Neurospora crassa OR74A: one gene and its partners. The protein of the gene in region 3 binds, or shares a complex with, the protein of the main gene of each other region. Links are inferred from orthologs where the notes say so. Each region holds a gene or a part of one and is shown on either strand. Other genes may lie near its edges. The genes, in order: NCU08299, NCU06749, NCU02757, NCU02804, NCU00952, NCU06469 and NCU04068.

The links.
Region 1: NCU02757 (region 3) and NCU08299 share a complex: the UniProt entries of both Saccharomyces cerevisiae proteins name them as parts of the mitochondrial large ribosomal subunit. The link is inferred for Neurospora crassa OR74A from reciprocal best matches to the Saccharomyces cerevisiae genes RML2 and MRPL3.
Region 2: NCU02757 (region 3) and NCU06749 share a complex: the UniProt entries of both Saccharomyces cerevisiae proteins name them as parts of the mitochondrial large ribosomal subunit. The link is inferred for Neurospora crassa OR74A from reciprocal best matches to the Saccharomyces cerevisiae genes RML2 and MRPL9.
Region 4: NCU02757 (region 3) and NCU02804 share a complex: the UniProt entries of both Saccharomyces cerevisiae proteins name them as parts of the mitochondrial large ribosomal subunit. The link is inferred for Neurospora crassa OR74A from reciprocal best matches to the Saccharomyces cerevisiae genes RML2 and MRPL25.
Region 5: NCU02757 (region 3) and NCU00952 share a complex: the UniProt entries of both Saccharomyces cerevisiae proteins name them as parts of the mitochondrial large ribosomal subunit. The link is inferred for Neurospora crassa OR74A from reciprocal best matches to the Saccharomyces cerevisiae genes RML2 and MRPL44.
Region 6: NCU02757 (region 3) and NCU06469 share a complex: the UniProt entries of both Saccharomyces cerevisiae proteins name them as parts of the mitochondrial large ribosomal subunit. The link is inferred for Neurospora crassa OR74A from reciprocal best matches to the Saccharomyces cerevisiae genes RML2 and MNP1.
Region 7: NCU02757 (region 3) and NCU04068 share a complex: the UniProt entries of both Saccharomyces cerevisiae proteins name them as parts of the mitochondrial large ribosomal subunit. The link is inferred for Neurospora crassa OR74A from reciprocal best matches to the Saccharomyces cerevisiae genes RML2 and MRPL6.

Annotation. Positions count from the first base shown.
Region 1 is NC_026504.1:2,488,116-2,492,704, reverse strand, and holds NCU08299 (mitochondrial 54S ribosomal protein YmL3), read right to left. Parts: upstream 3,102-4,589; 5' UTR 2,812-3,101; coding exon 1,492-2,811; 3' UTR 713-1,491; downstream 1-712. Other genes in the region: NCU08298 (cytosolic phospholipase A2 zeta), read left to right, coding at 1-8; NCU08300 (uncharacterized protein), read left to right, coding at 3,599-3,601, 3,686-3,705, 3,814-3,996, 4,111-4,180. UniProt on the Saccharomyces cerevisiae protein: Component of the mitochondrial ribosome (mitoribosome), a dedicated translation machinery responsible for the synthesis of mitochondrial genome-encoded proteins, including at least some of the essential transmembrane subunits of the mitochondrial respiratory chain.
Region 2 is NC_026502.1:2,066,189-2,070,064, reverse strand, and holds NCU06749 (mitochondrial 54S ribosomal protein YmL9), read right to left. Parts: upstream 2,602-3,876; 5' UTR 2,259-2,601; coding exon 1,104-2,258; 3' UTR 894-1,103; downstream 1-893. Other genes in the region: NCU06748 (hypothetical protein), read left to right, coding at 1-89, 228-709; NCU06750 (coiled-coil domain-containing protein 25), read left to right, coding at 2,956-3,028, 3,176-3,215, 3,358-3,461, 3,540-3,876. UniProt on the Saccharomyces cerevisiae protein: Component of the mitochondrial ribosome (mitoribosome), a dedicated translation machinery responsible for the synthesis of mitochondrial genome-encoded proteins, including at least some of the essential transmembrane subunits of the mitochondrial respiratory chain.
Region 3 is NC_026501.1:3,455,031-3,459,382, forward strand, and holds NCU02757 (mitochondrial 54S ribosomal protein RML2), read right to left. Parts: upstream 2,918-4,352; 5' UTR 2,534-2,917; coding exon 1,561-2,533; intron 1,499-1,560; coding exon 1,425-1,498; intron 1,361-1,424; coding exon 1,256-1,360; 3' UTR 887-1,255; downstream 1-886. Other genes in the region: NCU02758 (G2/mitotic-specific cyclin-B), read left to right, coding at 4,305-4,316. UniProt on the Saccharomyces cerevisiae protein: Component of the mitochondrial ribosome (mitoribosome), a dedicated translation machinery responsible for the synthesis of mitochondrial genome-encoded proteins, including at least some of the essential transmembrane subunits of the mitochondrial respiratory chain.
Region 4 is NC_026501.1:9,064,233-9,067,591, forward strand, and holds NCU02804 (mitochondrial 60S ribosomal protein L25), read right to left. Parts: upstream 1,751-3,359; 5' UTR 1,559-1,750; coding exon 1,164-1,558; intron 1,076-1,163; coding exon 1,015-1,075; intron 954-1,014; coding exon 918-953; 3' UTR 745-917; downstream 1-744. Other genes in the region: NCU02805 (diphthamide biosynthesis protein 4), read right to left, coding at 1-326; NCU02803 (pre-mRNA-splicing ATP-dependent RNA helicase prp-28), read left to right, coding at 2,064-3,359. UniProt on the Saccharomyces cerevisiae protein: Component of the mitochondrial ribosome (mitoribosome), a dedicated translation machinery responsible for the synthesis of mitochondrial genome-encoded proteins, including at least some of the essential transmembrane subunits of the mitochondrial respiratory chain.
Region 5 is NC_026501.1:6,595,063-6,598,679, forward strand, and holds NCU00952 (mitochondrial 54S ribosomal protein YmL44), read left to right. Parts: upstream 1-1,641; 5' UTR 1,642-1,935; coding exon 1,936-2,116; intron 2,117-2,281; coding exon 2,282-2,397; 3' UTR 2,398-2,963; downstream 2,964-3,617. Other genes in the region: NCU00953 (hypothetical protein), read right to left, coding at 1-538, 640-989; NCU00951 (inorganic pyrophosphatase), read right to left, coding at 3,285-3,510, 3,571-3,617. UniProt on the Saccharomyces cerevisiae protein: Component of the mitochondrial ribosome (mitoribosome), a dedicated translation machinery responsible for the synthesis of mitochondrial genome-encoded proteins, including at least some of the essential transmembrane subunits of the mitochondrial respiratory chain.
Region 6 is NC_026503.1:1,524,633-1,528,348, reverse strand, and holds NCU06469 (putative mitochondrial 54S ribosomal protein MNP1), read right to left. Parts: upstream 2,206-3,716; 5' UTR 1,988-2,205; coding exon 1,787-1,987; intron 1,520-1,786; coding exon 1,190-1,519; 3' UTR 656-1,189; downstream 1-655. Other genes in the region: NCU06470 (hypothetical protein), read left to right, coding at 1-446; NCU06468 (midasin), read left to right, coding at 2,791-3,716. UniProt on the Saccharomyces cerevisiae protein: Component of the mitochondrial ribosome (mitoribosome), a dedicated translation machinery responsible for the synthesis of mitochondrial genome-encoded proteins, including at least some of the essential transmembrane subunits of the mitochondrial respiratory chain.
Region 7 is NC_026506.1:2,634,328-2,639,002, forward strand, and holds NCU04068 (mitochondrial 54S ribosomal protein YmL16), read left to right. Parts: upstream 1-1,568; 5' UTR 1,569-1,753; coding exon 1,754-2,039; intron 2,040-2,257; coding exon 2,258-2,371; intron 2,372-2,462; coding exon 2,463-2,830; 3' UTR 2,831-2,981; coding exon of another isoform or gene 2,982-4,268; 3' UTR 4,269-4,375; downstream 4,376-4,675. Other genes in the region: NCU04067 (hypothetical protein), read right to left, coding at 16-507, 566-659; NCU04069 (3'-phosphoadenosine 5'-phosphatase), read right to left, coding at 2,982-4,268. UniProt on the Saccharomyces cerevisiae protein: Component of the mitochondrial ribosome (mitoribosome), a dedicated translation machinery responsible for the synthesis of mitochondrial genome-encoded proteins, including at least some of the essential transmembrane subunits of the mitochondrial respiratory chain.

The DNA of each region.
Region 1 (4,589 bases), on a different chromosome or scaffold from region 3:
TCAGTTGAGCTGAGCGAGCGCGTTGTGTCTCTTCTTTTTGTTGATTTGGGAGGCGAGTGATTCTCTGTGGGTTACTCTTTGGTGATGGAGATGGTAGGAATGGGTTATGACTCATGAGATGGATGACGATGAATGAGATGACGGATGGTTATACCCCAAAATGAGGATGAAGAGGATAGACAATGCCGAAGAGATTAAGAGATGAGTAACAGAAACTTAATGTGTGTTTTTTTAACCAGTAGGAGAAAACCTACGCGCACTCCATGTTCTCCTTGGTGCACCCTATTATCTTAGACCACTGTACCTTAACAATATGCCAATTCTATAGTTGTCAAAGTCTCCTTCATTGATCCCTTTGCATCAGGTCGCAAGTTCTGATGAACGTGTTTTTGGAAACGTCGTGACAAAGTACCAGGAGGGGGTGAGAAAGTGAGGACGCAACTACAGAGAGAACAGTCCACATTTCATCTCCCCTCTCACCAACTTCATCTTCCTCTCACGTATAAGATAAACAAGAGCAATGTGAAGAAAGCACAAGGCAAAATAGATACTAAACAACCTCTAGTTTGGATGAATGGAAGGCGCGCAAGCTTGGGAGGAACTTCCAGGCTCGATCTCGTCGTCCGGTCTTTTACTCTTGCCGGTTGCGTATTCCCATTTCTTCCTTTACGATGCTTGTTATACAAAACAAGGGCTTACACATCCTGGAATTGTACAATGCGTGTAAATTGCGTAGTACCATATTCTCTCTTACACAGCCTTCTCCTCATGCCAGAGCAGTCAATACGTAGAGGAAGGATTTATCATGTCATGTACTTCGTTGATGCCTCGTAAAAAATTTGACTTCTTAATGCTACACATACAGACGATGATCTTCCTTCTCCCTGGCCTCGGCTACTTTTTTGGTATTATACACTGAGAAAGAAGGACACAGATGCCACCCCGACGAGGGTTGTGTCTCTCTTTGTCGAAAGCAGAGCCAAGCAGCCACCATCCAGACCCTCTTCATTCCCCGTTCCGTCCCAACCCCCCTTTGTATTGGTATATGTGGCGGGGGTGTGCGTGTGTGTACATGTATGTCCGTTGCGCGCAAATCTGTATACAACATCTCGTCTTTGGCAAAAAGAGCAAGAAACAATGGAAGGAAAGGGAGTGACTGGATGGGAGAGGACCATCCATTTAATATCCCCTTCCTTCGCAGGACGGAAATTGCCCGCTCTCAACAGGACAGGACAAGAGTGGAAAGGTAAGCTGAGCTTTTAGACCACACCAACAAAATCCACTCGTTGTTTTGTTTCCCTCTCGATCCTCTTGCGTCGATTTCCACAAGGGGAACCTATCCCGAGTTGATGGGCCGCACAACCAATAAAACCGAGAGTGTAAGCAGGCCATCTGCGACTCTCTTTTTACCTTTCGTTTCATACACTTCCTAAGTTCTCTACTGCCCTGCCGTACTGTCCGCCGCCATGCTCCGTGTTTCAGCCTCCTCATTTAGCGGGAGATAACCTCACCCATATCAATGTATGCTGGCGTCCAGGGCTTGGCACCCTCCTCCAGCATATCACTGGGTACCCGAGGGTTCTCGCCAGGGCTGTAGAGATACCAAGCCTTCAGGGCGTTCATGGCGGCCTTGAAGCGGGCGTGGTCGAGAGAGGAGGCGGCGCCCTCGCCGAGCTTGTCGCTGCCGCTGTATATACCGACAACAAAAACGGGGGTGCGCGACTGGCGACCCGTCTCGGAGAGGAGACGAGCCACGGGGGGCTCGAAATCCTCACGGGCGCAGAGCGCGGCGAGCTCGCGGGTGGGGTACTTGAATTCGAAGAGCTTGGCAATGTCGAGGGTGCGCGACATGATGTGCGCCTTGACAAAGGCCTTGGCGGCCTCGCGGCCGCAGTGGGCGTAGATGGCACCGACGACGGCGCGCACAAAGTAGGCGTGGGCCCGCTCAGCAGCGGCCCGGGTGTCGGGGTTGCCGTAGCGGTCGTAGCTCACGTCCTGGTCCTGCTCATTAGCGACCATCTCGGCCTCCTCCTCGTCGGGAGTCTTGTCCTGATCCTGCTCTTCCATCGCCTTCTCCAGATCGGCGGCAACCTTGGGGTCGCTGCGCACGACATCACCAAAGTCGTCGTCGAGAACGACACGCGAGGCCATACCGCGACGCCACTTGAACTTCTCGAGGTAGGCGAGCTCTGTACGCTTGTAGCCGAAATTTGTGATGGCGACGCCGGGCTTAAGGGCATCGAACTGCAGAAGACCGGGATCCACCTCGCCGCCGGGCACCGCGGCGGTATCAACACCCCATGACCGCGCAATCTGGAGCAAGGGCTTCGGTCCGGCATAAGCCTTCATGGCACTGAAGAGAATTCCCTGGGGTAGACGGGGGTATTTGCAGAGGAGCCATTCGGCAATATGGTAGTTGATGAGGGTCTGGCCAACGAAGGCGAGGTTGGCGTTGTTGAACTGCGGGTTCTCGTCGGCCGAGGCGTCGACCAGTGTCCTTGCCAATGTCTGTAAGGGGATCTTGGGAGAAAGATTCAAACGGGCGTGGAGGGCGGCCAGTTTGGCCGAGGTCAAGGCCCGTTCGGGGAGGGGCGACGGTAGGGACTCGGCCGCGGGGGGGAGGGGCTCAAGCGGGGGGAACCGATCATTGTTGAGATCGTGGGATGCATCGTGCTGAGCGAGGGCAGCTGTCGATTGCGATCGCACCGAGATTGCAGATCGGGATCGGATGGCGGCAGTGGCGGGCGACACTCCGGAGCGAGCGGCGACGAGCAGCCGGCTCGTCAAGCTGGGCGTTGCTATCCTCTTCATGGGCGATATATTTGATGGGTGATGGTCGGCTCGACAACCGGGTGTTGACGTGCTGGGGCCCAGGTTCCGTAAGTGTGCGCCGTCTGGAGGCCCTGCCAAGAAAAGGATGGAGTGAGGGAAATCGGACGGGCAGGTGGTGAGCCGGTGGTCGCGGGGTGGGAAGCTACTCGGGATCCCGGTCGGAGTCGCGCGTTGATCGGATGGGTTCTCGTTCAGACTCGGCCGGCCGTCGAACACGGGTAGAAAAAAAAAGTTCTCCAATCTGAACGCTCACCACCCGTACACTAGACAAGCCCACCACCCAGAGCCGTGAATCAGTGCTCAAGCGCAGGGGTTACTCCCCCAAGACCGAGACATAAAAGCCGGCTGACATGATTCGTTGTTGGCCCAGTGAGGGTCCCCACAAGATCCATCTTCGACCCCAATCCACTATCTGCGCTGTCTGTTTAGCATACGGTGCACTGTGGTGGACAAGCGGGAGCTGCCCGCCCGCCGCCCGCCGCCCGTCTGTCGCATGCGCCCTCGGCCCCAGTTAGGACGAGTGACATGGTGACTTTCAGGCCTGGATGGTTGATGCGATTTAGCCCCTCGTCAGCCTGTAGGCGGATTCATCATTCGTCCTTCTATCCAATTGTTCCCGCTGAAGCATCACCACTATTGTGCCGTCGTTCGCAGTGCATCGCAAAGTTGACAGTACAAACCGATCTTGCTTAACTGCGAGGTGGAAAGAATCATTCCTCGTTGAACGTCCAACCTACCTCACCACATATCCCAAAACTTCATCACAATGGTGCGTATCCACCCGATTGCTTAGAATAGCCATCATCACTACTATGTTTTGTGTCTGCTAACTCTCTATTTTTCCTGTCTATAGGGCGGCGGTCCCCAAGTTCCGTGAGTTTCATCGCCCTCGACATGCGCAAACCCTCCGCGCATTCTGTCCAACCCAGCCTGCGTTGTGTCATGGATCCGTCCTAATCGTTGCCTCGCCCTTCACTCCAGCTACCCCAAACACGTCTGGTCGCCTTCGGGTGGTTGGTACGCCCAGCCGGCCAACTGGAAGAAGAACACGGCTGTTCTCGGTGGCGTCGTCTTCCTCATCACTGCCGCAGTCTGGAAGCTTAGCGCCGAGAAAGAGTACCGTCACAAGATGCCCGAGCCTGGTCGCTTTTATCCCAGCAGATAGTATGTCCTGGCAGACAGACCCCCATCCAAATTTTTATACATGCGTAACGTTTTCCGCGAGCGCAGACCGCGGGGATGTTCTTAAGCTGACGCAACCGATATTACCTCCACTAGCTGGAGCAGACAGATTATCGAGTATGAGCGGGCGCAAAAGGAGAACGGGACGACACAGGAGAAAAAGTAAATTTGGGCATAGGCCCTGCCACCCCGGCCGTTTGGTCATACAGTACATGGCTTCCAAAGGCTTGATGGAATAACAGGACATCTTGGCTTGGTTGAGGCCGGCCGGTTGGTGGTAGTAATGCAATATTCGGAATACATTCAACGTCGGTTACCCTCCGCTGGCCGTCTTGCGTTGGTGCTCCAGAGCCTGGCTACGTCGTGAATAAAGCTAACTTTGATGTGGATCAGTTCTGTAATGGATTATAGAGGAAACTACCTCTATTCTTACCGTTTCGTACTATTGGCGAATACTAGTGAACTCACAGAGAAGAGCCCACCTTCCATGACTTTGAATCGTGAACATGCCTTAACAATGTTCTTCGCATGTTTTGGTGTAAACGCAAGCAACAAGGTAAGCTGCTGTGGAAACC
Region 2 (3,876 bases), on a different chromosome or scaffold from region 3:
CGCTCAACCCCAGAGGAGATCTCTCACATCGGCACCCAGGCCTGGCGATGGTCCGTTGATGGAGAGGCGAGCTGATCGTGAACTTCCTGGTATGTTCTCCCCGTGTCTCTTCTTCTTCTTCTTCTCTTCTCTGTGTTCTGTATTTCCTGCTGTTTCCGCACCCCAATTGAGTTCCTTAGTACCATGGAAGTTACTGACCCCTCTTCCCTTTGCAACCACAAAAACAGATGTCCAAACCTCCCGCTTCCGCTGGTCCCGCACCTTCCCCATCTTCTTGGGCATCGTAGCCGCCACCTCGATCGCAATCTTCAACTACCAGAAACTCTCTTCCCCCGTGGTCGAGTCAACCCTCTATGCGCTGCGCACGAACCAGCGCGCGCGCGAGTACCTGGGTGACGAGATCTACTTCAAGGCGCAGATTCCGTGGATCTCGGGCGAGATGAACCAGCTGCACGGCCGCATCGACATCAAGTTCAATGTCAAGGGCACCAAGCGCACGGGCGTGATGCGCTTCGCCAGCTTCCGGCCCACGCCCCGAGGCATGTTCGAGACGACCGAGTGGAGTCTGGAGACGGAGGACGGCAAGGTCATTGACCTGCTGGAGGAGGGCGATCCGTTCAGAGCTATCAACGGCCGTGCGATGGAACCTGAGCTGGATGATGATGCAGAGGATGCGAAGGTCAGGGGTTTCAGGCAGATGCCCAAGTAATTGTTTTGGGGTGCTCTTAAGGAGGGAATAGTTTTGAAAAAAGGGAGGATATATATGGGAACCGGGGAAGGTGGTGGTCCCCCTCTCCCCCTCTCAAACAGGATGAGCTGAAGGACAGGATCGTGGTCTGGCTCTCTGATTGAATACCCGAAGGCTGTCAAGGAGGAATATGTGTAAGATATAGGGAGAGAACATACGAACCTATCACGGGCAAGGGTTGTATGTTCAAGTTGTTATACATTTTCGGTAGCTGTACATTTTAACACCCCACGATGCGTGTGTATCATACAAGAGAGAACTAAAAAAAATGAGAAACCGGGAAGGCTTTACCATACATTCCCTTCCATAAACCTAGTACAAACACATACTACAGACCAGAGACAGCCCCCCTCTCTTAAGCCGAAGCTTCTACCGCAGCATTTCCATCCGCCTTCTCTGTCAGCCCATTCTTGATGAGCGAATCTATCAGGCCCTGTCTCCTCGCCTCCTTGAGCTCCAAGTGCAACTTCCTCGCCGCCTGCAACTTCTCCTCCGCATCAGGGAACCGCTCGTTGAGGAGCTGCTTGGTGGCCTCGACAAACTCCTCCGGGGGAGGAGCCTTCTTGACAGCATCCTGAACCTTGACAACCGCACCCTTGTGACCAGCGACCGCGCCCTTGACCACCACGATGCCGAGCTCGTTGTCCACCATCAGAATGGGCAGGTTCTGGACCGTGTGCTGCTGCGCGCCCATGCGACCGGGCATCTTCTTGCCGGGCAACACACGCGAACCGGAGCCCTGCGAACCACCGACGGAACCAATGGTACGGTGGTTCAGCGAGTTACCGTGCGACGCCTCCTGACCGGCGAAGCCGTGACGCTTCATACCACCGGCAAAACCCATACCGCGCGTGATGCCGCGCACGTCCACCACCTGGCCGACGTGGAACCAGTCCGGAAACAGCTGGACGCCGACCGGCAACAAGCCGTCCTGGTTGCGCACCTTGAACTCGGCGAGCGTCTGCTTGGGCGGGATGCCCTTGGCCTCGTAGTAGCCGAGCTGCGGGGCGCCCACGTTTTCGGCGCGGCGCTCGCCCAGGCCAACCTGGACGGCCCAGTAGCCGTTCTTGGCGCGCGTCTTGTTGGCGACGACTTGGACCCGGTCGAGCTGCAGAACGGTGCAGGGGATGCGGGCGCCGGTGCGGCCCATGAAGACGGTCATGCCCTTCTTGACAGCGAGCACGCCGGTGCGCAGGGGTGTAGTCTTCTCGCGGCGCTTGAGGGCAGCGGCCGGGCCCGAGGTGGGCGCCGGAAGACCCTGCGTCACTTGGTTGAATCGTGTGGGCCTGCTGCGCTTCGGGAGCGTGCTCCAGCCGTACTTGACGCCGCGCTTTGTGATCTGAGGGAGGAGGGAGGGAAAGACAGTCGATGGCGAGGAGGCGGAGAAGGTGGGTGTGGTCCGGCCGGCGAGGAGGAGGGAGCTGGCGGCGGCGGTGGTTGTGGTGTGGGTGGCTGACCTCTCGACGAGGGAGAGCTGCCTCCAGCAGCGCGCGGGCAGCCGGGGCGCCATCGTGTATGTGTATAAGTCTGAGGGGAGGGTTGGGTGGTGTTGTGTTGCTTTTGGTGGGGTTGGTCGCAGTCAATTGGACCTGACGGTGTTCGTTGTATCGATGTCGGGGCCCCGGAGCGTCGAGTGGGGGGAATGGAAAGGACACCGGCTGTCTTCGAGACGCGAACCGGAGGGGGCGGAGTTGGGAGGTCGTTTCGGCGCGCGGCCGTTGAGGTGGTTTTGGGGCGGGTGCGGGAGTGGTGGTCGCCGGCTCGAAGCACGGAGCAGCAGAAATTTGATAGCCACTCAGAAATTCAGTAACGGGATGCTCCCCCCCCGATAACGTCGATCGGTTCGGCATCCGGGGATTCACAATTGACAGGGGAGGGGCGGCTATTCACAGGCGGGTACTATGTATTTGGCGGATTGTGGTGTACAGAGTGTGACATCTCTACAAGAAGGGTTAGGGTTAATTGCTTCTTTCTATTCACTTAGGTAGTTTTACTTCCGCTGGAGTGCGGGCGCATTTTACCGCATTGGATCCCCCAAACTCAACCGCTAAAACATCTTCACTCGAACCACCACCACACAGCCCCAGAGAAGAAATCGCGTTTTTGCATCTTGGTTTCCCTTCTTGCACGAAGTGTCTTTTTCATTGTCGCCGTTTTGAGATACCCAATATTCCCATCTTTCATTTCTTCCAAAGGCATCAGCAACCATGGTCTTCTATTTCACTTCGACCGTCGTCAGTCCCCCGGCTTTCATTTATGTGGGGAAAGACAAGTTTGAGAGTACGTGAAGATGATCATCAGCCACAATTGGTGGTATTCTGCATCTCCTTGTGGAATATGCATATATCTTGACACACTCATGGACATTGCATATTTGACTTGGATATAGATGTCAGCTCGTCACTCATCTAACATGCTATTTTATAGACGAGGAGTTGATCCAACACGGCTGGGAGGAGGATGTATGGTAAGTTTCACCCCGGCCAAGCCTAGTTCGGCATTTTCTAACTATTCTTCGTAGGGTATGACTCCCCATGAGGTTCTCGTCATATTATGCTCTGTTTCTCATTACTAGGCCCTACTTAGTTCCATGTCGACAAACTTTCCAGTGCTCATATCTACCTCCGTCTCCCAGAGGGTTGGACATGGGAGAACATTCCCGAGGAGCTCCTGACCGACCTTGGTCAGTTGACCAAGGCCAACTCCATCGAGGGTAAGTTGCTGCTTTTGAATTCTACTGTCAGGAAGTCATGGGGGAATTCGTGAGGACTAACTCTGTGCTTTTGTAAAGGTAACAAGAAGGACAACATCACAATCATCTATACCCCATGGGCCAATCTCAAGAAGGACGGCAGCATGGCGGTCGGCCAGGTCAGCTTCAAGGATCAGAAGAAGGTGAAGCGCATTTTGATCGCGCAGCGCGAAAATGCTATCGTCAACCGTCTGAACAAGACCAAGGTTGAGAAGCACCCGGACCTGCGAGAGGAGAAGGAGCAGCATCTCAAAGAGCTGCGCAAGAAGGATCAGGCGGCGGTGCTGGCGCGGAAGAAGGAGGAGGATCGCCTGAAGAAGGAGCGGGCCGAGAAGAAGTGGCAGAAGGATCATGCCTACGATGAGCTCTTTGCTGA
Region 3 (4,352 bases):
TGGATGAGGTATGTATGGGGGCAACCATAGGTACCTACCTACTCCCCAGCTTTTCCATGTTAGTGCATCTTAACTCATTTAGTGTAGGGTGAGAAGCACCGCAGAGAAGTACGATGTACCCTAGGTACCTAGGTATATATTTATTGTGCCGACCTGTCGGGGTCGTGAGGTACCAGACATGGTGGCGCACTCAGTTTTCCTTACTAGTTAATGTACAACTACCGATTCCATCGATCCCATTCAATCTCCAGAAGTACAAAGGGGACTGCCCTGAACGAGCGAAACGTTGTGAAATAGTATGTACACTAAAAGAATGGCGTAAACCTTAAACTCTGCCCAAACCACCGAAGAGACGCTTCAAATAGTGTACTCATCACCCCCGTTGATCTTGTGGTATACCTCTATGGAGATGAGACTATGCTTGCCTTTTGTCGACCCTCGTTCCTTCATGGCGTTGTATGTATGGCCGAATTGCGGGCGCATACCGAGACGCTGTCGTGATATGCCCTTACACAGTCAACCACTGTAAAGATACCACCGCTGGAATGCATATAAATCTCGCTGCGCTCAGGTCTACCCACGCGGCTATTTACGCCCCTATTTTTTTTTTTTTTTCAGGATGGCGTTCACAGAACCGGTAGCAGATCTGAAAGGGCGAAGGGGGACGGCATTGTTATTCTGCTCCTTGCAGAAGAGATGAACGCAAAATGTGATTGGACAACTCGACCGACTCCAATGACCAAACGCCTTCAGTTTCTTTCATTGTAGTCTGTTGTCTATAATCAACGCAAAAAAAAAAAAAAAAAAAAAAAAAAAAAAAAAAAAAAAAAAAAAAAAAAGGGAAAAAAAAATTTTTTAATTTTTTTAGGAAAATTAAACAAATTTTATAAGTAAATAAATCAATAAAAAATTTGTTAAGTTGGGGTCGGTATATGACAACGGAGTCTAACAAACCCCATGTGTAGTCTTTGGTACATTCCTGAAGTCGTATGCCGATTTATAGGCACAGTCACGGCCTTGGCCGGGCCCTGAACCACATCGCCGTAGAGTTGCTCAGTTGAAAGTGGAAAACAAAGACAAACACGGCAGATCTCCAACAGACGATGTTATTGGGCCCAATACCCACACATGGCATCCTTCCGGTGATATACTGAGCCCTCGAACTGCCGGCCTGCGAGCAAATGAATAAGTTTCACTACATATTGTACAAGATGGTGGGTATATAGCCCAAGTTGAGCACAGTGGGTTATTTTATTCATGTAGTCTTCTTGTTCCTCCGGACTCCCATGTTGCGGACCCGGGGGGTAACCACCCACTTGTTGACGTTGGACTTTCTGCGAGTCTTGTAACCACCTTTGGCCTACAGAAAAAGAGGGTAAGGCGTCTGTTCAGAGGAAGGAAGGAAATAAAGGGGCATGACTTACAGGTGTACCCCAAGGAGAAACAGGGTGCCTATTACCCTTCGACTTACCACGACCACCACCGTGAGGATGGTCATCTACCAGGCCGTTAGTTGGTTTTGCTCGCTTGACAAACGGATTGTTCTGGGAGTCTACTCACTTGCGTTCATCGCCAAACCTCTCACAGTAGGCCTAATGTTGAGCCAACGGCTTCTACCGGCCTTGCCCAGTTGTCTGTAGTGATGCATAATGTTGCTGGCAATACCAACGGTGGCGCAAGCGTCCTTGCTGACCCTTCTGATTTCTCCGCTCTGCAGTCTTACGTTGACGAACTTGCCCGTCATAACCTTTGTACCATCCTCACGGGTCTCCTCCTCTTTGGAAATAATGGTTGCATATGTTCCGGCACTGCGGCAGAAAACAGCCTTGCCATCCGGACGGGAGCCAACGCAATAGATCTGGGTTCCAACCGGAATCATGGACACAGGCAAGCAGTTGCCTCTCCAGCATGTCCTCGCAGCCAGAATACCAGGATCAACGACACCACCCATAGAATCGAGCAGGTCCTGGGGAAGACCGGACCGGTAGCTCTGCACAACGTCTCCAGCCCTCATACCATCCGCCGCAACAATATAGCTCTTCCTCCCTGTGGCCTCTTCCTTCACCAGCGCAATGTGCGCGCTGCGACCGGGATCGTACTCAATGCGCAGGACTGTGTGCGGACCGGGGATCCATCGTTCAAAGTCGACCATGCGGATTCTTCGCTTGTGACCACCACCGCGATGTCTGACGGTGACGCGACCACTGTGATTACGGCCACCCTTAGATTGACCCTTCTTGGGAAAGGTAAGAGGAAGATACGGCCGGCCCTTCCACAGGTGGTCGTTGATCGGGCGCTTCAAGTGACGGATACCGGGCGTGTGCGGCTTGTAGGTTCTCATCATGCCGGCGTCCCGGACGTAGGGAGTGACGATCTTGGCTTTGGCATCTTTGCTGGTGTTGCTGGTGCTGGTGCTGCTTGCTGATTGTGTGGCGGCCTTGGTGGCATAGCATCTGGCGACGGTGCGGCCCAGCACGGTTTGGGCAAAGGAAGCTGTCCCCGCAAGGAGGGGTCGGAATTGAGGCTGCAGCATGGCTGCTCGATCGCTGTCGGATATCCCAAGCTCCTGGCGGTGAGCTCTGGGGAGGTGAGGGTGCTGGAGGGGACAGTTGCTGCGATTTCCAGCAACCGGAATGCGACGTCCTCGCAGGCTGCTCGTCGAGGTTCTCGTCGCCGGCTTGTCGTCGATAACTGCTTGTGGAAAATTGCTCGGCTGATGCGCCAATCACAGCCGTGCATTGGTTTGCGATCCCTGACGATTGTGGCTGCTAATAGTGTGGCTTGTGTGGTGCAGCCACTGCCCTTTGGTGAAGAGCCTTGTTTCTTTCCAGGGGACAAGTGCTGCAAACAGCGCTCCAAAACGCGGGCGCGGGAGGAAGGCACCAAGTCATCACCGCGTGAAGGTGCAGTGCGGCGCGGGGAAAGAGCGTGCATCGTGCTCCATTCCTGCCCGCCCAAGGTTCCAGTCGCGTCTGACCCAGGATAGGTAAGGTACCTTAGTGTTGACAGCTGCTGGACACGCGCAGCCTGTTGGACAGTTTAAACCAATCAGAAGCTGATTTGACCGAATTGCCCTGCGGTTGCCAGTGTTGCCCTGACGGCGGGCGGATGACAGCAAGGGAGGGACGTGGCCTGTGGTGGCCTTGCCGCCTTCAGTTCCTTCACTGCGTGTTTGAGGTGCGACCCTTCTTTGTCCCTTCTGCTTGCAGTGCTCCATAACAGCGCCCGGCCCAAGTACAATTTCCTGGCCGCTTTCTCGACTCCGGATTCTGCAACTCGACACTCACCATCCGACTAACAACCATTTCCCTGGACGCACGACAATCGACTTTCAGCTACAGCAACAACAGCAACTTTCGACTCCGGCCATTGAAGCCTGCATTTCTTCGGCAGTACAACCTTTTCGACTTGCTTATTCGACAACGGCATCCTCATCATTCGACAACTTAGCAAGGCAGGGAACAGCAAGACGTGCGTCTGACAGAAGCCCATATTGCACGGCGCGTCATCACTTGTTGTGGTAATTTTGTTCCCTTTCCGGTGTCTTGGACTTCAAAGCTTCAAAGCCTCGCTGCACTAGTGACCTCGAAGGGCACTAGAGGTACTTTGCCCCAGTCCCAGCACGTCCGATCCGGTACCTGGGTGGGTGTCCACACGCCCGCTCCGTCCACTGGCACTCCAGCCCCATCCACTGGGCTGCACTGGCACTGGCACCTCCACCAAGACCTCGCAAAAACAAGACTCCCATTCTTCTCTGCCTCGTAAACATCATACCTCCCTTTCCCGTCCGCCAACTAGCATTCCCACTCCGCATCACCTGGACTCGCAAGGCCTTGCCATCACGACGGCAACCCTTGGCCTCGATCAGTCAATCTTTCCGGACGTCGCCATTGCGTGCTTTGCCCCGACCGTCGTCACCAATTGGGCAACATTCCCGATCAACAACAGCACATCCTTCACGGTCTCAGCCAACCTTCTGTTGCGGGACCCAGGGTTGATCTCCGGCTTCAACAACGTGCCGACAGCGACATCACTGCCGACCGCCGGTGTTCATTCTTCCCGACATCTTTGGGCTCTGTAGTCGGTGCGTCTAGTCTCATTGACTGTCCGTGTTCACAATTCCCTCGTCGTTCGCTCGTCGTTCGCGTCAACCCTCCCTCCGTGACAGGGATCGGTCTTTCAATAAGAACCAGTCTCTCCACCTCGAACTTCGCCAAAAACGAAACATCCAAATAGCTAGCTGACCTCCCCGTCAGTAGACACATTTCACATCAATTTCTGTGCCAGCATAGGTTTAGGCGAGAATGCCGAATCTTGTAAGTTTTACTGCACAGTTGGCATTGTCGTTCAAT
Region 4 (3,359 bases), about 5.6 Mb from region 3:
TCTTTCCTAGTAGTAGTGAAGCAAGAAGAAGAAGAAGATGAAGAAGAGCGAAGGGCGGCGTCGTATTGGGTCCGTAGAGTGGGGGAGGAGAGGGTGGTGTATGCGAGGGAGATTTGGTCGATTGTGTAGCGTGTTTTTGGGGGGTGATGTCCTTTGGGGTGGCTGTTGGAGTGGCTGTTGGAGGTAGAGGAGGAGAAGTTAGAGGAAGACTTGTCGGGGTGGTGGGTGAGGAGGGCGCGGCGGTAGGCTTGTTTGATCGAGGCGGGGGTGAGGTCGGAGGTGGTGGGTGAGAGGGAGAGGATTTCGTAGAAGGTTGGTTGGGACATCTTGGATGTGTTGGTGGTTTTGCGGTTTGGTGTTCAATGTGGTGTTTGGTAGTGCGGCCCCGGGTATAAAATGGTATGGTTGTGAGACCGGTTTGGTGTTGAAATGTATCGACGTGTAAGTGGTGAAAGGTTGGTGGTTTGCGTCGAGCAGCTTTCGAGAGAAAAGTTTGTATCCCGCAATCACGTGTCTCTTTGCGCTCGCTGCCCTTGTTATGTTGCTGTATACAGTAGGAAATGTGAATAGGCAAAAAAAAGAGGATGTGTGATGTGTCGGTTCTCACGTGGTGGTTTGAGTCTTAGTTGTGTGCCTGGTATCGTGAAGTGAGTTGTTCAGAGAAACAAATTCGGGGGGGAAATTTTACTGCACCGTTAGACACATTACCTCGTCTCGGCCTCCAACCACAGTGGGGAACTCCGTCTTATAAGACGCCAGAGGACGTTCAGTCAACAACCGGGAAACAGAACCACATTGATGGCAATCCCCTTCCAAATGGCTTGAAATTTGTTGTACATTGTTGGTGATGATACAGTCTATGGACATGGCAGTGACTCTCGTTGTAATCTTCCCGACAAGCGACAACAACCGATCGCTTATTTGGGGAACTTGGTCCAGTTCCTCTTGCCGACCTGTAGCGAAGCCCATGGTTAACAAGAGTGCAAACCGCAAGAGTTTGGGCGCAATCCTTACCTTTTTCCATTCCCGGATAAGGTCGGGCATAGCCAGCATGGCCTCTCTCCTCTTCTCCATCCTGTGTGCGAAATCCACCGTCAGCAAACCACCACTTCCTCCCAACCAGCAGCAGCAGCAGCAGCAGCAGCCGAGGATCGACAACGTACTTGGCAACCAGTGTCCTTTCGTGCTTGTGACCCTTGACCTTCTCTCCAACACCGGTACCCTTGACACGGAGACCGAGCTCGACTCTCTTCCGTAGCTTCTCCTCGTTGAGCTTGCGGGTGAAGGGCAGCAGCTCCTCGACGCCGTGTTCCTGGGCCAGCTTGACGAGCTCGGCCTGTCGCCTGAGCGAGTACTTGGGGTTGTGCCACTTTCCGGTGATTGGGTGCTTGGTGGGCATGAACGGGTTCGGGCTCTCCTCCTGGTAGGGCGTCTTGTGCGTCTCGGGGTCGGCGCCGGCGGGCAGGATCGAGGCCGGCGGGTACCGGGCCAAGAAGGTGCGCAACCGCGGTGGGAGCGAAAGCGCCAGCTGGACGTGCTGCTTCACCGTGGCCGCCATGGTGAAGATGTCGATCGACCGGCCTGCTGGCGGTACTGTGTCGGTCGAGGTGGGGGGGGGGGTTGTTTGTTTGTTTGTTTTTGTCGTAGGTGACAGGGTCCGGATTGCTCGAACGAACCGGAACGGGGAACTTTGCGATCAATCGGCCGCCGACGGGACCCCAACTGCGAAAAAGTTCCAGGTCGCGAAACGGTACATAGCGACAGCCGGAAGTTACACTTTGAGCCCTAACCCGACCTCTTTAACCCCCCGCGTAAGGCGGGGCATGTGGAGACCCTTGAACAGGCACGACAGGGATCACCGACCTTGAACCGTGACATAACTTTTGGGCGGGTCGAGAACTGTGCTGCACCGCTGCTGCACCCCAGAACCACCCAAGTTCGCCATAACAACAACCCCATTCCGGAACCCAGCACTGCTTGGAAATCAACACGTTTATTGTCAACACTGTCGCCTCCGACCAGTCTCTTCCTTCGATTCATCACCAACTCCATACACTACCACGATGAGCACGACATCAAGACGGGAACCCCCAGACCTGGCAGCACTGCTGCGCAAGAAGAAGGAGGAAGAAGCCGCCGCCGCGAAACCAAGATTCATCCCCAAAAAGGAACGAGAGAGGCTAGAAGCCGAGAAAAAGGCAAAGGAAGAAGAGGAACGCAAGCGCAAGGAAGAAGCCAAGCCTCAACCAAATGGAACAAATCATAACGGCAACCGCATGGACGGTATCCAGAGTCATCACAACCACAACCCTCAACGAAACATCCCAACCGGACCCAAGGCGATGCGGTACGACGATGACCGGGGACCCAACGGCATGAGCAACGGTCGGGACTACAGAGACAATCGCGACAACAGAGATAACCGAGACAGAAACCAACGGGGCGCAAAACGCGGCGCACCCAACGATGACGAAGAGAAGCGAGCCAAGATGGAGAGGAACGACGAGGCAGAGCTGCGCGCCCGCTACATGGGTCCAGTAGTAAATCAGTCCACATTCTCGGCCAAGAAGAAGAGGAGGAGGACGGCAGCGAACAAGTTCAACTTTGACTGGGATGCCGATGACGACACTAGCCGACCCTTCGACCCCATCTACGCAGAGCGTCAAGAGCCTCTGGTCCGACTTGGTGGTTACGAGATGACGGAAGAGATGGTGATGCGGAAGGCCGAAGCCATCCGTCGTGGCGATCCCGAGACGGGCGAGGAGCGCGCCAGGCAATACCTGGAACAACACAGACGGATCAAGGAGATGGAACAGCGCAAGAACCTGGGCAAGCACTGGTCCGAGAAGAAGCTGGAGGACATGAAGGAGCGCGATTGGCGTATCTTCAAGGAAAACTTTGGCATTGCCACCAAGGGCGGTGCCATTCCCAACCCTATGCGCAGTTGGGAAGAGTCCACGCTGCCTAGGCGTCTGCTCGACATTGTCAAGAACGTGGGTTACGACGAGCCGACGCCGATTCAGAGAGCTGCCATTCCCATTGCCCTTCAAGCACGCGACTTGATCGGTGTGGCCGTGACGGGTTCCGGTAAAACTGCAGCTTTCTTGCTGCCTCTGCTGGTTTACATCTCCGAACTACCACCCCTGACCGAGTACAACAAGAACGACGGTCCATATGCCCTGATTCTGGCGCCAACAAGAGAACTGGTGCAACAGATTGAGAGCGAGGCCAAGAAGTTTGCTACACCTCTCGGATTTACAGTCGTCAGTATTGTGGGTGGTCACTCGCTCGAAGAGCAGGCGTTTGCTCTACGGAACGGTGCCGAGATTATTGTCGCCACACCTGGTCGTCTCGTGGAC
Region 5 (3,617 bases), about 3.1 Mb from region 3:
CTGCAGCAGCGTGCTCACCAAGTCGCGCGAGCGTGAAAGAAGGGAGTCGATCCCCTCGTAGCTACGTTGCAGTTCCTTCAAAGCAGCGGTGCTTTCCGCAAGGGTTTGGGAGGCGAAGGCGGACTTGGCTACCTCGGAGGCGATCAGGGCGTGCGTGCGCCGCAAGGCGTCCGTGACGGTGGAGGAGGCGGAGACGACTTCGGAGTCGTGGGAAGGGGGTAGATTTGTTTGGTGCTGTTTGCGACGGCGGTTGCCGAAGAGGGCTTGGCGGGGGTCGAGAGGAGGAGCATCTGACGAAGCGGCGGCGGCGGGGGTTGAGAGAGGGGGTGGAGACGTCGTCGACGAGGTTGGTTGAGCACCACCGCTGGGGGCAGCAGCAGTAGATACGGGTGTTGAGGCGCCTGATCCGCGGTCTGATGCGGCGAGGTTGGCGGCGACGGCAACGTAGGAGGCTAAGAGGAGCTGGCGCTCGAGGCGCTGGGCGGTTTCAAGGTTGCGGCGCGCCGCGAGTTGGGCTTTGCGGAAGGAGGTTCGACAGCTGTATTTTTTTGAGACGCAATTTTGTTAGGTACGTTGTTTATCTTCATCTTCATCATCGTCATCACCATCCAGGCTGAAAAGATGAGAAACAAAACTCACCCCTTAAGCTCGGCAGCCAAGCGTTGCGCGCCCTCCTTTAACCTCGTCTTTTGATGTTCCGCCTCACTCCCTGGGCGGCCGGAGCGCAAGTCGATAATCTCCTCCTGCAGCAACTCCAAATCCTCCTCCTCCTCGCGCAAGACCTGGCTGATTTCGGCGCTCAAGTCAGCGGCCTCACTGTTGGTGGTTCCATCGGCGCCAGTGTTCGCGAGACTGCTGATGCTGTTGCTCAAAGGAACGGAACCGGGCTCGAATTTGAGCGTGGCGAGACGCTCGATGAGGTCCTTAAGCTGGCCGGTCGTCTCTTGGAGGGCCGTGAGCCGCTCTTGAAGCGTTTCGAATGTTGACATTAGTGACTTGTTGTATTATGTCGGTATTGCATTCGTAGGGAGTTGACTCGGTAAAGGTAGATAGATATGTGTTGGAAAAAGGTGGATGTGTAACAAATGGTTTCCATGGATCGTAGTCGGATCCCACTTAGGTACCTGGTGTTGATCAGCAGCTGTGCTGTTGTTGATAATTAGTGGAAACCTGGCCTGAAAGGAGAGCACTGTAGCGATGTTCAATGGAAGTTCTCGGTGGGCGTGGCTCTTGCAACGTCATCCTCAAGGTCAATGAAAACGGATCACATGCGGAATTCGGTAACGGAGTTCAAGTTACAACTCGCTGGGGCAAATGGGAGTACGTACTGTTGCGCTGAAGGAACAAAGCACAAACTTACACACTCAGGGCTACAGACTAACACAATGTAATAGAAGGCCAGAAGTGATTCTCTTCCCGTTCAGAAGATTAAAAAGATGTATTATGTCAATTGATCTGATGTAGTGTAAATATGAATGCAAAATCGAGCCTGACACCGTTTGATCCCAGTTGGCTCCCAACCAATCACAGCCCATCTCTCACACGTAGCACGCGCCGTCCCGCATTCTCCGTTTTACAAAAAACACCCCTCCCGGTCCCCGGCGCAATCGGTACGTACCTCCAGTAATTTTTGATCGCATCCCTCCTCCACGCTGCCGGCCGGCGCCAGGCACGAAGACCGAATCGAAGTCCAAATCGCGACACACAAGCTACGTACCCCGTCCGATCCTCCACAGAGACCCGTCTCCCGTCTCCCGCGTCTCCGTATCCGTCCCCGTCCGGTGTGCAGTGCAGTCCCGTCGTCGCAAATTCGCAAAGTCGCAGTCAGGCCTCCGCGTTCCTCCTGCTTCTTCTTCTTCTTCTTCTTCCTCCCCGAACCCAACCCCAACACGACCTCAGGTCACCACCACCACCACCCGAGAGACCTCGCCCAACATGCTCACCCGCTTCATCACCGACGTATCAACGCGCTTCAACCCTTTCTCGGCCAAGGCCAAGGCCGCCCGGCTCTTCCTCTCCTTCCTCCCTCCCAACGCCCGCTCCAATGGCATGAACATCACCACCCAGCTTCTGCCGCGGAATTCCACCGAGACTCCTTTGCTCTACGTCAAGTTCAGTACGTTTTCCCAATGTCTCTCTTCTTGTCACTTGCAACTCTGTCACACATCGACGGACCGCCGTTGCAGTTGGTTGTTGCAATTTGGATCATTCCGGCTGGAAGGCAATCAAGAGTCGTTAGCTGTGAATCAAGCCGTAGTCTAACGTATTTGAAAAAAAACAGAGGACGGCAAGGAAATGAACCTCGACGTTGAGAACATGGGCATCAAAAGCATTGTCGAGGAGGTGGATCGCCACTCTCGTATCCTTCAGAAGCAGGCCGACTTGAACGACGGTTAACCGAATCTCTGTCTTTCTTTTCTTCTTCAAAACCCAGCAATCTCGAGACGCCCTTGTTGTGTTTTGATCCACCAATCGAACTTTGCGGGTAAAACGAGGGAGACTGAGACTAGGAAAAAGGAGGGAAAAGCCACGGGAAGAGCGACGAAAGCCCATCTTGTCTTGATACCCAGACTACTTGGCTTTGGTCCGTGGTACCAAAATGACGATTGACCGGGAGGAGAAGAGGAAAAGTCTGGATATCTAAAGGCACATTCGAATCACCTGGGTAAAGCCAGCGAGCTTGGAGCCGGATACCTGACGACCTCTCTGAGAGATCTGTAAGATCGCCTTACCAGCCAAAAAGAAGAAAACAACAACAAAAGATATGAACCTGTATTTGTATTGGGCAAGAGGTTGTAAGTGTACACCAACAGCATTGGGAGGCGTTAAGGGGCCGGCGATTTTCAGTTGGCAAGGCAGTTTGGGTACCTGTTGTTATAGACATGCGTATATAGCACCTCTGCCATGGATTGATTCACACACATCACGGTACGCCCATTTTGACAAAGTCAAAGTTGAGATCGGCCTTTTTTTTTTTTTTTGTTTTTGTTTTGGCGACCGTGTTTCCTTCGATGGGGAATTCATCAACGGTATCGGTATATTTCAACGGCGAAACTCATGGCGCAAGAATGTCGAGCATCTCCTCGACAAGTCCCTATCCCACGGCATGGACTACAGCCTCAGAAATGGCCAATCTCTGACCGCGCATACCTTGTTGCAAAGACGTTCGACTCTACGCAAAACAACGCATGAGGGTAACACCATGGAGGATTGTTCACGACGAATTGACCAATACAACAAAGTGCCAATAAATTATCTTTATTCTACCTCAACAAACGAACTCTCTAAGCGGAAGCACCGCTGATGAAGAACCACTTGTCGATGGAGCTATCGATAGGGGCAGGGGGGAGATTCTCGTTGGGAGGGAGGGGAGGAAGCTGGTCAGGGGCAACACGGCTGCTGGAGTGCTGGACAGTGACGTTGGTGGTGGAGACACCGCCAGGGGCAGTCTTGCCGGTGATGAGACGCTCCCAGGCTTCGTTGCACTCACGGACGACGTCCATGGCGTACCTGTTGTTATTTGTTAGCCAATGTAGCAGTTGCGGTGACAAAGCGGTACAAAAAACTCACGTCTTGTTCTTGCACTCGCCAGTGAAGGCGAACTGGTTCTCGGGCTT
Region 6 (3,716 bases), on a different chromosome or scaffold from region 3:
GCGGAGGCGTCAACACTGCCGCCCCTCGTCTCGACAAGAAACAAGTTGAGCAACGTATCGAGGAGGATCGTGAGCGGCATAAGAGGCTGAGGGAGAACATCTGGGCGGTGCCGAGCGGAGACGAGCTGGATAGATTGCTGGAGGAGACGTCAGAGTTGGGGGATGACGACATGAGGGCGATATGGGAAGAGCAGGAGGAGTGGGAGAGGAGTTTGCAGGCGGGGATTGGAGGGATTGGAGGGAGTGGTGGTGCGGGGTGTGGGCATACTACCTCTACCAGTAACGGGGGTGAGAGGGATGATGGTATGAATGGGAATAACATGAAGGAAAAGCCAATGTCGATTAGTGGGGAGATTGCCGAGATGGCGAGGAGGAAGCAGCTGCAGCAGCTGGAAAAGGAGCAACAGGAGAAGCAAGATAAAGATGTGGAGATGACTTCGGGTTAGGAAACCGACGGAGGAGAAGAGAACCTGGGAATTCAAGACCAGTAGGAATGACACGGGTGGTGGATACAAGAGGCGCGCTGGTAGGAGTGCGATAGAAAGAAGAAAATTGAAGGAGGCAAGGAGAAGGAGGTTGAGAATAAGAAACAAGGAAGTTACCGATACATGGGGTATGCATGGGATGGCGTTTATGTTTTTGGCTGTTTAGTTATCTTCGGTATCCATAAGCGAAAGTGGGGAGATACTATTAACTCAGAAGCGGCATCTGCTCACGGTAATATCGTCGACAGACTCTCATGTTTTCGCTGACAACCCGTTCTTCTATCCATCCCAGTTCTCGTAGTATGATATAATGTTACATGTTTCATTGCTTTTTGTACACGTACAAGTGGTATATGTTGTTGTGAGGAATCTGTGTCCGCCACTCCCCCCCTTTCCCCATGAGGATATAATGTAGATGAGACCGAGAATCCCCCTTTATGTGTTTCCCAAGGCCCTGGCATTTCTTCCAACTCTGTCCCGTCATGATCATCATTATAGGAAAAAAAAAAGAAAATATCTTTCCGGCATCTGTGTCAGGAAAAGATCTCCTCGTTTGGTTCTTTTTCTGCGGGGGAGGGACGTGACCATCCTACAAAACAACAACACACATACACACACACACACACGGCGCCTCCACCCACCACACCACCACACAGAGACCATAACCATAGCAACCAACCCTTTTACTAGGCAGAAGCAGCAGTTTAGTCCATGGTGACGGTGGCGCCGAGCTCCTTCATGGCGGCGACAATCTTCTCGGCATCCTCCTTTGGTACCGACTCCTTCATGACCTTGGGCGCGCTCTCGACGAACTTCTTGGACTCTACTAGGGAGAGGCCGAGCAGGTTCTTGACCTCCTTGATGACCTTGGGCTTGGCGGCGGCGTCGAACTTCTCGAGCTTGAGCGTGAACAGCGTCTTCTCGGCAGCGGCAGGGGCGGCCTCCTCCTCCTCAGCGGGAGCGGCGGCGGGGGCAGCGGCGGGGGCGGCAGCGGCGAAACCACCGACGGGGAGATCGGGGATGTTGAGGCGGGACTGTTTTGTGTAAAAGAAGAGAGAGAGAGAGAGAGTGAGTGTTAGTGTTGGTGCCCATGTACATGTGTGCGACTTGAGAGTCTAGGTAGTATAAGATAGGTCTGTCTGTCTGTCTGTCTGTCCGGGGCCGGGCCGGGTCGGGTCGGGTCGGGTCCGGGGCGCAAAAACATCCGGAAACCTTGAAACATGCTCCGATTCGGGTTTTGTGTGTCCCGGTTCCCGGCCCCGGTTGTTCTTCTTCTCGTGCTTTATTTAAATCGGGCGTACCTTGAGGCTGGACACAAGCTCCGAGGTCTCGAGGAGAGTCAGGGTGCTGATCTGGTCAACAATGGCGGCGATCTTGGGGTTGGCGGCAGGGGCGGCGGTGGACTCGAAGCGCTTCTGGACGAGGAGGGAGCTCGAGGCCCGGGTGGATGCGCGGAGCTGGCGGGCGGCGCATTGCGCGGCGAAGCGAACCGAGAGAGACATTGTTGGTATGTGTGTGTGTTGGTGGTGGTGGGTTGTGTGGATGGATGGATGGAGAGAGGGGAGTCGGACTCGGACCGGAGGAAGGAAAGAGAGAGGGCGCGCGGGGGCGGTCGGATTGGGGTTCTCTTTTTTTGGTGAGGGAGGCTTGCCGTCGACGTCGACTTCGAGGATCGTACAACCGAACCGTACAACAACTAAACGGAGATATTTTTTTGGGGACGTTGTCGCGCGCTCCCGGGTGCTGCGAAATCTGGGACCCACTACTGGCAGTTGGCAGCTTGGTGGTTTGGGCGTGCAAGTTGGATCTATGACGGCTGGCTGACCCGGAGCTGCAGCTGGAGGGGAAAACCCAAGCTGCCTGCCCCGCGCGAGTCTGGGGATTAGGTACCTCTGTACCTTGAAGTCCACTGAAGACGCGCTAAAGGATGGGCCCCTGTCATCCCAAGCGCGCCCCTGCTGCCGCTGGGCTGTTCGTCCCACCCGGAACTAGGTTCCACTTTTGAAGAAGATGGCTCCCTTGCCTGCCGCAGCCGACTTACACTACACTATGTAGAGTACTATGCAGTACACCCCAGCACATGCGCCTAGCGCTAAGTAGCATGTACCCCGCACTATCGTTCAGCGCGATAAGGAATTTCATGTGGGAAAAAGTTCCAAACGGGAGAAAGCGAAGTTCAATGGGCAAAAAAGTTAGAGATAAAAAAAAAAAAGAGACTAAGAAAAACATCACCGTTTTTCACAACGACGACGACGACGACGACGACGACATCCACGCCAACCCGTCCCGTCGCTTTTCCCTGGCCATGATGGCCGTGATCGATGTGAGCCAGCAGAGGGCGTCGCTCCTTAGCGATGCGACCACCTTGGACCTCTTGCCGCCAGAGTTGCTGCTCATAATCCAGGATCACCAATCGACCAAATTCCTCGATGCGATCGCCAGCGCCGCTCTTGTCTCGACAGCCACCGACCGCATCTTTACCCATTTCGAGTCTGTTTTTGCCGATATTTGCGCCAGATGGATTCTGTCTTCTCCAAAACTCGATACGCGAGTCCTTGCCGCTTTCGCAAGGATCTTGCCCTTCGCCCCGTCGCTGTCCGTCTTCCTCGTGTCGCATCTTCGAGGAGGATCTTTTGGTGGTGTTAATGGTGGTAACCACAACGACAAAAGCAACGACAATGATGCTTCTTCAAAACTTAAACCTCTCGATTCCCTTGACCTAGCTTCGATCCGCCCAGATGACCTCCCAATTGTCCTCCTAGCCCTCTGGAGGCTCAACAACTTTGACAAGCGCACCTACGCCGGCCTGTCAAAGCCATCCCAAATACAGACCCTGTTCGCACACGAGAACCCCATCGTCCGATATCTTGCCGTCCGAATCTTCTGCCAGCTTCATAATGCCGCCGATGTCAAGATCGAAGCCCTCCTCGAAAAGCACATACCCAAAGATACCAGCCTTGTCGCAGAGCTCGACGGGCGCGAAGCCGACTATGCGTTCCTCAGCCTACACGAGGATTCTAGACGTGAAGACATTCAGAGCTCTCGCAGTAAATCCCAACAAACTAGTGCGGTTGACGATGCGGTTGTCGAATTGAATATCACAAACATCCCAGAACAGAACCTCACTCCTCTAGTTGTCAAATATGGAAAGACAGTCCTCCCGCGTCCCCTCGGCCCTGTGACTGCTCCCACCACCCTCGCACTTACCCCGACGACTGTTGAGAACCTCGA
Region 7 (4,675 bases), on a different chromosome or scaffold from region 3:
ACCTAGATACCATACCTTTCTCATTATCCGCTCTGGCCGCCTCACAGAACCGCAAGGCCTTGTGCCGATAACTAATCCACGTATTCCACGCAGCATCTGACGACTTCATGGCTGACAGGCAGTGATCGATTTCATGACTGCTGACGTGGAGTTGTGCTTGGTCCCGGATCGCAATCTGACTCAGGGCCGGTTCACGGAACTTGGCACATTGCGCCGGGATATTGAACCTGCCTCGCTCCAAATCACATATCGCTAGACTGGCAGCGTAGGAATCAACAAAGTCGCGAACTTGCCGACCAGTGTCTGTGAGGATTGTGGCGTCGTTCTTTCCGTCTACCAGCTGGCAGTTGTTGACTAGGAGTCGGGCGGCCACACGATGGCAAAACGGTTCTGATTCGAGTTCTTGAAGTTCACTTAGGGCGACGGCGTAGATATTTGGTAGGCGTGAGGACGCTCGAAGCAGATCCGAAGGCTGGATGTTGCGGTCGATGTTGACTTGATGGTCGGCTGTGTTGCGGTCATATTATTAGTCAAGCCCTGCAGGCAGTGCTCTGATATTACTTACGAACTGCCACTTTTCTTTCACCTCCCCACGAAAAGGCCAGAGAAGGTGTAGCTGTAACGGCACAGAGAGCCGTGAAGAGAAGCTTCCTGGCCATAGTTGTCATGTAAGTGCAATGCGACAGGCTGATGATGATATACTGATAAAGTCAGATGCGTCCAGAAGAGTGCCGTCGAAGGGACTTCGGCAGTAAGAAATGGAGATTCTGGCAATATTGGTAGTGCAATTTTGGCGATCGAAGTTTGTGGCCATGCAACTGAAAATTCTGTGGTGTTTTTGAAGAGAAGGAGCGATTCAAGAGAGGGAAGGAAGGAAGGTGTATGAGGGTAAGTTGGCGATCGCGACTGCCCAGGATAAGAGAAGCGGACTTGAATTTAGCGGGACAAGAATCACAGGATTGTGAAACCGCGAAAAGGTTTCGTGTGAAATGACTTCACTTGAAGTTCGCATCGAATATGACTGTGATTGTCTGCCGAGCTCGACTTTTGCTGGTTCTTAATCGTCTGATGTGACGCTGTCCTCTCCAACAGAAGCGAGCCTAGACAAAGATTTGGGCTGTAGACCACTTGTCTTGACATCACTGGAATCTGCATCTTTTCATCCGGTATCGAGAAAGTGCAAACAGCTCGCTTGAGACAGTTTGGAAGACTTCGACCGTGACGGGTGTTCTGGGTGGTGATGACTATCGTGAGGTTGGCATCCGTAAAGTCGTCATCGGAAAGCTGGACGATTGTCGAACGGGAGATTAATTCAACATTCAATCTGAATATTGTGAAACAATATGTTCCATCGAGTAAACTCTACACTTCCACGCCCTGTGCCATTTTCTTTTTGAAGATTTCTTACTCGAGATGAATGATGTCGGATGGAATAACATCTGTTGGTGTTCGTCGTTGTTTCTTAGCCCAAGCGAATAGCAGCAGCGAGACTATGCGGATACGACCCTAACCCTGTTGTATTTACAGCCAATCACTAGCTGCATTGCTGTGCCGCGTCAGGTCCGATACATTTTTTGGAGCTCTCCGAAGATCCACTCGGTTCATCCCACCACCCGGCCGGCTTGCCATTGACTCGGTGCTGCCCTTGCGACTGCCAGAACCTCCGAACTGGAGCGCCGCGTCTCTTCGCCAATTCCGGTTCCGCATCGTGACGACGGCCACCACCCTGCCGACGACGACGACACTCACCACGATGTTCGCCCCAAGCCGAAGGAGGGTCCTTGAGGCCGTTGCCTCTTCCTCATCTTCTCCCGTCGTCACACTCCCCGGCTTCCTGGTGCCCGCCTTCCAACAGACTGCCGGTGCCGCCGCCCGGCGCAACTTTTCCGCGACGACAACCCGCCCGTCCAAGCTCGGCCGCACCCCGCTCAGTATCCCTCCTGGCGTCGAGATCACCATTGGCGAGCCCTTCGTCAAGCGCGACATGACGCAGTGGAAGCAGCAGCCTAAGCGCAAGATTACGGTGCAGGGCCCGTTGGGTTAGTTTGTTCTATTGTAAAATCGACTTGGCAAAAGGACCAGATGGGTGTTTTATTTGAGGATACGCAACGAAACTGGAGCGGGCGCAACAGATGGGCTGGGAGAGGCCCGAGAGAGAACGTTGTTTATGGGTGTTTGCGCGAGAGTGCAAAGGGGACTAGGATGGGAGCAGAGCAGCTGGCTGACTTGTTGCACGTGTGCGTGTGCTTTTTCACAGGACAACTCGAGATGGACATTCCCGACTTCATCAAGATCGACCACGACGCCGAGGCAAGGAGAGCGACCCTCAGCGTAGCGAACCGGGACGAGAAGGAGCAGAGAGAGATGTGGGGTATGGCAAACACCTTCCTTGTCTTGGAGAATGTGGAAAGTTACGGGCGGCCAGTCAGCTGACGATTTCGAATCTTTCTTGGACAAAACAGGAACAACATGGGCGTACCTCAACCGCTTCATTATGGGTGTATCAGAAGGTCACACGGCCGTGTTGCGTTTGGTCGGTATCGGTTACAGAGCTACAATCGACACCCGCCCCGAGAAGGAGGAATACCCCGGCCAGCAGTTCGTCTGCCTCAAGCTCGGTTTCTCCCACCCCGTCGAGATGGGCGTTCCCAAGGGCATGAAGGCCAGCACGCCGCAGCCGACAAGAATCCTGCTTGAGGGCATCAACAGAGAGCAGGTCATGACCTTCGCCGCTGATATCAGGAGGTGGCGTGTACCGGAACCCTACAAGGGTAAGGGTATCTTTGTCAACGGCGAGACCATCAAGTTGAAGCAGAAGAAGATCAAATAGAGGACGCGCGGTGGGTTTTGGTGGCTGATATGGTTGTTGATGAGGATAAGGGGGGAATATTGTACATTTAGTCTATTATTTTTTTTGGCACACACATGGCCTCATAACGGCCCGATACCTGCCATAACCTGTACACTATGACACCGAGGCTTTACTGCTGCCCGAGAACTTCCTGAACGACCTTGATGACCTGGTCGTGGACCGCAGCAGGCGCCGCAATGACACCCTTGTTTTCAGCCAACGTGCGGCCGACGCTGAAATCCAGGCGGTTTCCACTCACGTCGGTAACCTGACCACCAGCCTCACGCACAATCAGATCTCCAGCAGCGTGATCCCAGATCTTCTCCTGGTAAGACTTGGAAGTAGGCAGACGGAGGTAGATATCACCCGCGCCGCGAGCAATAGAGCCGTACTTGGCCTGGGAATCCATGCGCACACTAGGCTTGGTGATCCCGAGCTTCTGCGCAATCTGTCCAGCCACGCCCTGATCCGAGTGACCCGCCTCCACGCTCTCGCAGAAGCTGGCGTTGGACATCTCTGTAATAGGCTTCATCGCAATGGACTTGCCCTCCGCAAGACCGGCGGTGCCCAGGGGTCTGCTAGTCGCGCCTTGGCCCTGAACGGCCGAGAAGATGACACCCCGGCCCTCATCGGTCGCATTGGTGCCGATATCCGCAGCCAACGGCGCAGCGTCGTCCACAGGCAGGTTCGGGCAACCGAGAACACCGACCTTGACGTCACCGTCCACCATCAGTCCCAAGCACACGGCATACTGTCCACCGCGCAGGAAGCCCTTGGTGCCGTCGATGGGGTCGATAGTCCATATCCTGCCCTTGGCGCCGCCCTTGCTGTTGCCCTGGTCGATGATCTCCAGCATCGCGTCGGCATCCTTGATGGCGCCGCCAAGGAGTTGCTCGGCAGCCTCATCGTCAAGCTTGGTGGACTTGACGAGCTCCCAGATCTGGTCCCGCAGGGGGGTGTCCTCGCGCAGCTGAGCGGCCTCCTCCTCAGCCACAATCTCGTCCGAAGGAAAGTTGGCCTTGAGGGCGCTGATGATGAGCGCCTGAGCGCCAAAGTCGCCAATGGTCACAGGGGACTTGTCGTCCTTGGAAACGGTGCCCTTGGCCTTCTCGTGGAAGACGCGCTTGGTGAGGCGGGCGGCCCGCTGGACGGCGAGCTGAGCTACCTCGAGCTCCTTTGCGTACTGGGAAGAGGCCATCTTCTGTGTAGATGTAGTTGTAATGGTTGAGCGGCTGGTTGCTGTGATTGTGTTGGCACTGCCAGTCAAATGGCTCGCAATGAGGGAAAGCCGGGGAAAGGAGATGCGGGAACTGAAGATAGCCAGGATGAGGACGATGAGGGAGAAAACGAAGAGAATTTTGGAGTAGAAAGTATGGGACGATGCCTTTTTCTGCTGTTTGATCTTATCCACAGTCATACAGCCGCGAGAGGATCGATAAACCTCGGGGAATTTTCAATCCGTAACCGGAATACGTATTCAGTCCAAGTTGTTGAGTGGTTGAACTTGGGATTCTGGCTGTCAAATGTTCCCCGCACTGATTCTGTAGCGGCGAAGCTGTTGACGTATGACTGCCCTTTTTGTCTTTTTTCCCACTTCAATTGGTTCCCCGCAATGCCACCAACCGCTCGCTATCTCCACAAATGCAGACATGAGAGTCTCAAAATCTTTGTTTACTTTGATGAAATGCTTTACCTATTTCTTGATGTTTCTTTTTCGATTTGGCACTCCACTCTTGAGAGAATGCCCGTCAAAACAGCAATGATGACACGGCTCGGTTCAGGGTCCTTTCCATGTTAAACATGAGCACCCACGGATAAGCTAGG